2 linked regions of the Danio rerio genome follow. The protein of the gene in region 1 purifies or fractionates together with the protein of each later gene. This does not show direct contact. Links are inferred from orthologs where the notes say so. Each region holds a gene or a part of one and is shown on either strand. Other genes may lie near its edges. The genes, in order: ocrl and snx9b.

The links.
Region 2: the proteins of ocrl (region 1) and snx9b purify together in Homo sapiens (co-immunoprecipitation; 3 studies listed by BioGRID and IntAct, with this or other methods). This does not show direct contact. The link is inferred for Danio rerio from reciprocal best matches to the Homo sapiens genes OCRL and SNX9.

The regions. Positions count from the first base shown.
Region 1 is NC_133189.1:38,413,942-38,417,780, reverse strand, and holds part of ocrl (inositol polyphosphate 5-phosphatase OCRL), read left to right. Parts: intron 1-812; coding exon 813-922; intron 923-2,722; coding exon 2,723-2,858; intron 2,859-2,933; coding exon 2,934-3,044; intron 3,045-3,839. UniProt on the Homo sapiens protein: Catalyzes the hydrolysis of the 5-position phosphate of phosphatidylinositol 4,5-bisphosphate (PtdIns(4,5)P2) and phosphatidylinositol-3,4,5-bisphosphate (PtdIns(3,4,5)P3), with the greatest catalytic activity towards PtdIns(4,5)P2.
Region 2 is NC_133195.1:46,320,037-46,322,650, reverse strand, and holds the end of snx9b (sorting nexin-9b), read left to right. Parts: intron 1-778; coding exon 779-870; intron 871-994; coding exon 995-1,042; 3' UTR 1,043-1,818; downstream 1,819-2,614. UniProt on the Homo sapiens protein: Involved in endocytosis and intracellular vesicle trafficking, both during interphase and at the end of mitosis. Required for efficient progress through mitosis and cytokinesis. Required for normal formation of the cleavage furrow at the end of mitosis.

The sequences.
Region 1 (3,839 bases):
CCTTTAATTTTACCTTCTGAAAAAAAAACATGTATCTAACAAAACTCTAGTACATACACAGAACAACATGAGGATTTATAGCAAATAAACAAATGCAAATATTATTACGCTTGCTTTTTGAGCCTTGTTGAGGGATTTCTTAAACGCCTATGATTTATCATCCGCTAAACAGAAAAGGCTGTGATTGACTCTGGATCCACAAGTAACGTTACTGCTGTAACAGCCAAGAGAGGAGACAAAACGTTGCCTGTACAGATATCTGCTTTTTAAGTAGTTGGAGCGTTATAACTACACGCGGTCTCCTCCCTTGCCATAGCAAGGTACCGCCATATAACGTATATGTGATAAATGATGTCAGTGCAGAATAACCGGTTACGATTATTACTGAACCGATACCGAATTGTTTGCGTCTGCATCGTGGTGCATTGAAAAAAAAACAACAATTAATTATGACACCCCTATTAAATGGTGAGGAATTATCCCTTTCAGTGATAGCCATATATAGACTGACTTCTATTTTTGTTAAAAGCACATTTAATAGAATCTTTGACTTTCTTTTTTTTTTATTGTCCACAAGTTGATATTTATCTTTGGCTTCACCACATAATTGCATCAGCATTCACATCACATAGATCACAAAAAGCACAAATACTTTCAACATCATTTTATAAATCACATTTAAAACTCAATTAACACTATTTATACTATTTAACCCAGTATTAAAATTCTAATGGCAGTTGGCACACATTTCTTTACTTGAGGTTGCCTAAAGCTTCTTTTTGATGGCAAAATCTTTGTCTTCGTATTGGCAGCTGAACCTCCAGAGAAAGACTAAACGTGTCTTCACCGATTTCATGGAAGGGGAGATCAATTTCATCCCAACTTACAAATATGACGCTAAATCAGATCGGTGGGACTCAAGGTAAAGTTCCTGAGACTGAACACTGTTTAATGATCACTTCATGGTAGAAAGCTCTTAAAATGAAGTAAATGATGCAAAACTTGCAAAGAAGCCCTCATTTTAAACAATGGTTGCAAGAACTCTTTCATTGTTACGTATATAGTCAGGGAAAAACCGGAAAAGTTTTTCAAAATATGGAATCCCTTTGTAGGATTTCTGAAAGAAGCTGATACAAATCTTTTCTCTGTATAACTTGTATCTTGTATCATCTGCTATTGATGTACTGTTATTCTATTTTGTACCTTTTATATTGTTAGTATATGTTCATGCTTTTATTAACGTATATAATTGTATTTTTTTGTTATTATTATTTATTTTACATTTCTTGTATGTTTGGTTTTGATTTCTTTAGAACATATCAGAAGTTCGAAAAGCATTAAAGAGCCCCTTTTATGCATTAAAAAAACATTGTATTTTGGTGTTGGGGGTCTCCAACAACAGGCTGATATGCATGCAAAGTCAAAAAACATTTTAGTTGTCCTATAATATGCATTTATTTTTACCTAACATACTAACGACTCCCATATGATTCATTCTCTAATTCATTTGTTGCCAAACCCCTCCTTGATTAGCACGATGCTAATCTTCGCTGATTGGTCAGATGACCCAGTCTATTGCGATTAGTCGACTCCGTTCGGCTTGAGACAGAGGGAAATGCCCAGCACAGCTTATAAACAAGTAGTCAGAGTGCAGAGTGTATGTGTGAGCCCAATGTAGGAGTGCATTAAAGCAATTGAGTTAAACACCAGCATATTGCTCTATTCTTAACCACAACACGCATTCAGTATTAATCCACAAAGTGGCAAAAGCTGAAATATTTTGAACTTGGCAGCACACGTGTGTAGGAACAGCTGATGGTGGCCATAGCAACGACAAATGGAAGTAGATTGCGAGCTCACAAACAAGTTTTAATCCATAAACATAACGGCACACGTCACAATTTCAACATGGTTTTAGATGCAATATGAGAATATAAAGTGTTAACCAGACACAGTACAAGCGGTTACAAGTAACAAAACACAATTAAATGCATAATTTGCAAGCTAGAGAAAGCAAGGAGGCAGCAGTTTTAATACTAGTTACTTACACTTGTAAAATGGAGGAAGAAACTGAACCATGAACTGTGTATTGTAAAGTTTCTGTCAGGCTCCGACAAAGATCCATACATCAGTAGTCATTTCTGGTCCTTCCTTTAACAAACGGCCTATAAATCCCCCGTTGTAAACATGCAGATTACTGAAGCACTCGTCTGAAAAATGAGAGGAACACAGCACAAGGCTGGGGCTATAATGCTAAGGTATTTTTTCTTCACAACCTCATCTTTGGGTAGAGAAAGTAACGAAAAATTTCCCTCACACTTCAGAGAACAGCTTCTTCGTGGCATGATTCAACCGGGATCTGCTATATTGTATAGTGTATATAGCTATAGTCCTCAGTTTATTTCTACAATGTTTGTGGATGGGGCCAGGGATTTCAACTTCCCCAGGTCTGCTCGTGCAACAAATGGGCGGGGCTTGAGTTCCATATCGATGTCACGCGGACACGGCTAAAGACTCATTCGAACCACTATGAGTCGACTCTATAATAGATGAATCGATTTTTTTAAACAAAGTGCACTTTTAGATTTAAGCTTCAGCTGGATATTTCTGTTCACTGCTGAGTTACACACTGCATGGAAGGTCGTTTTCAAAAACCCATAATAGGGGCTCTTTAAAGACAGTGTTTAAAAAAAAAAATTAAATGAATGTGGTGTATTTACAGTGGGAAGTGTCGGATTCCTGCTTGGTGCGACCGTATCCTATGGAGGGGAAGCAACGTGAAGCAGCTTCACTACCGCAGTCACATGGAGCTGAAGACCAGTGACCACAAACCTGTCAGCTCTGTCTTTAGTATCGGGGTGAGGTTTACTCCTTTCATCATCCTCCAATAATAGCATCGAGAGCGTCACATTGAATTTATGTGTGTGCTGCAGGTGAAGATGGTGATTGAGCAACGCTACAAAAAGATTTTCGAAGAGATTGTGCGGGACATGGACAGGATGGAAAATGACTTTCTGCCCTCTTTGTCCCTAACCCGACGGGAGGTGAGTAATGACAGAGAGCCAGACAGGGCAGTCTATCCTCAGACAAACTCACTCTGCATCGATCCACTGGCCTGCCTCCATTCTTTCTGAGGTCCCACTATATATTAGAGGAGGATCAATAATGTTTGCAGCATTTTAGCATTTCGCTGAACTGTGAGTGTGTTATGGGCTAATCATGTGTGCCATAATTGCTTTCAGAGTGGATGCATTAGGACAGTTTGCTTACAAATGGAAAAGATGGTTCAAATAAACTCATCACTTGGACTCTATAAGTTGGAGGATTTGAATGCAGAAATGAACACTTTGGCAGAGATGTATTCAATTGATCAAAAGTGACAGTATAGACATTTATAATGTAAAAAATTGACTGAATTTTAAGCTTTCTGTTCATAAAAGAGTTATTATTAACAATTTACATAGACTATTAAAGGGACAGTTCACCCAAAAATGAAAAATAACTCACTATTTATCAAGTATTTTTAAGTGAGTTTTGTTATTCTGTTGAACACAAATGAATACTTTGGAAGAATTCTGAAATCCTGTAACCATTGGCTTCATTTGCAGGAAACAAATGCTATGTATATTAAGGGTTACAGGTTTCCAACAATTTTTAAAGTATCTTTTTTTGTGTGTTCAACAGAAAAAAGAAACCCATAAAGGTTTGAAAATCAAAAGATGAATAAATTAGGACAATTTGCGTTTTTGTGTTATTAATTATATCTTAAATCCACATTATTCACTTCCAAAAGAAGACTATGTACGGTGCAGTGAAGTTTTGGATACTAAAAATATTTA
Region 2 (2,614 bases), on another chromosome or scaffold:
GTGAAGTCATGCAGCACCGGATAACTCAAAACAGCAACCATATGACTCTCCTTCAACTTTAAAAGACTCCGTAGTCATCTTGACAGCACAAGCACTGCAGGCACCTCAACGGAAACCCTGCTTCTGCTTTCAGTTGATTGGACAATGAAAAAGACGTGAGTGACGCAGCAACCTTTTTTCCACTCTCAACCGTGAGCGCACAGCGCGCAACGGCAAAACGCGAGGCGCAGCAAGCGGTTAAAAAACTACTTGTAAACCATTAGTACACCATGCGCCAGTGATTGAGTATCATGGGTAAAGTTCTTACTGTAGTATTTCTCACAAACGCTACGTGAAATCTGCTTCCTTTATGTCTGTTTGTTGTCTGACGCAGCCGAGGGAGGAGATTAAAGCACGCAGAAAGGTGTGAAACTGTGGGCGGGGAAGACTAGCCTTAAAGGCGCAGAACAGCAAAACCGCCACCCACTGCAAAAATGTATAAAACAGAATCTTATTAAAGGTATAATAGAAAATGTGGTGGATGTTTTGAGCTGAATCTTTACAGACACATTCTGGAGACACTAATGATTCATAAAAAATCTGAAAAAGGTGCCCTTTAACATGTAAATCACTCACATTTGACCCTTCATCCAAGTCTTCTGTAGACGCAGCATAAGTGGAGAATGCAACAACAACAATACATGTGTTGCGCATCTGTAGTGATGCTTAAAGTGAGTTCGCCTTTAAACACAGAGCTGTAAACTGTATAATGAATCTGATCAATCTGTCATCTCTGCAGCCGAAATGAACCACTTCCACAACAATCGCATCTATGACTACAACAGAGTGATGCAGCAGTATCTGGAGCAGCAAGTCAAATTCTACGAGATGGTAATGTTTCTCAAATACTTATTTTATTAAGTGAGGATGCATCAATAGGAAGGCTCAACAAAACCGTTGATTCCTGATTGAAAGCCGTATTCACAAATGTGCAATCACTTATTTGTTTTGGCAGATTGCAGAGAAGCTGCGGCAAGCTCACAGTCAGTTCACTACTATGTAATGCTGAATCGTCCGCCCAGAAGCTGCCTCATTTCTCTCTTCCTCTTACATGATTATTCACTCTTTCTATTCCTGTTATCTGTGTCATGATGTCAGTGCCATACAAATGCCAGGCCAAAGATAATCCAGCGCCCTGTGTGCAGACTGGCCCACCTCCGGTGTTTTAAAAACAAAAAGCAGCTACAGATTGTCTAAAAACAAGAAATAAATCTGATTATAAGAGGGCTATAATTATTCTAATCCTCAAGGTGTTGATTTCGATGATCCACATCTGTTATTAAGACCCTCACTGATGTAGAACTTTTATATAATGATCTAAACGTATAGCGGATTGTTTGAACTCATTGGCCAACCGAGTTTCATCGTGCCTTCTTTTGTGTAGAGCCGGCAAAACAACAACATGCTTTTTTTTTATCCTGTGCACTTTACTGTGGCCTTTCAGATGCATCATTCTGTTTGTGTTTGGCAACCGCAGTGTCCTTCATCAGAGGATTTTGCGGATGAAACAGGAGGGCTGGTCCTTTTTCCCCACAGAAGAGACATTCAGATGTTATTTTTCTCGCTCCCCAAAGCCAGATTACAGACATGCTTCCACCTCAGTGCAATTATCAGCAATTTCCTATCCTGTAAAAGTGAATTATACGTATAGATGCATGTTTTCCAGTTGTTCGTATATATATTTTTTATGTAAAGCAGTGTTTGCAAGTCTTTTGCACACAGAATGACAAATAAGATTGAGATTATGATTTAATAAATACTGATTTGTATACCATGCAATGCTTTTGTGTTCAATGAATGAGTGAATGTTTGTTCGCGTGCTTTTTATGGTTTAAATGGAAAGTTTGTGGATGGCATTTTAGGAAATGAGCAAACAATAATAGAAGGTTTTTTTTTTTTTCTAGAAACAGGATTTATATTTGGAGAATTAGTTTGTGTGAAGATTAGAATCCACAGATTTTTAGCCTATCAATGAGTCTTTATTTACTGGTGTAAATGTTTATTTGCTCAGTTTTTAAATTAATTTCAGTCATATTTCCTGAAAATGTTTGGTAACATTTTAGTCGCAACTCATACTATTAACTACTGGCTTATCACCTGCCTGTTATTAAGATATTAACTGTTCAATAGCAGTTATAAAGTATCATTTAATTCTACATCCCTAATCCTACCCAAAACCTAAACCCAACTTCTACCTTACTTCACTCTGTCCGAATGAACATGTTTGTAGCTTTGTATCACATTGGATAACAACTCACACTATAAAATAAATCAGATTTTCAGATTTGTTGACATGCAGAAAATTACATTTTCAAAAAACAAACAGAAACTGCAAATCAGGAGGAGATAAGAGGCTCAAGAGGTATGTTTTATACAGCGGTTTATATGGCGGTTTAAAAACCTTGAGTTTTCCAAACCGCTGTATGCCTTGAAAACGGTTATCATCACATGCCTAATACTTGTTAATTACATTTAATTCAAGTTCAAAATCAGAATTCAGTGTTAAATGAACTCAATTTACCCCAGGACTGTAAGGACAGCTGTATTATGTAGACACTGTAGGCATCAGATTATT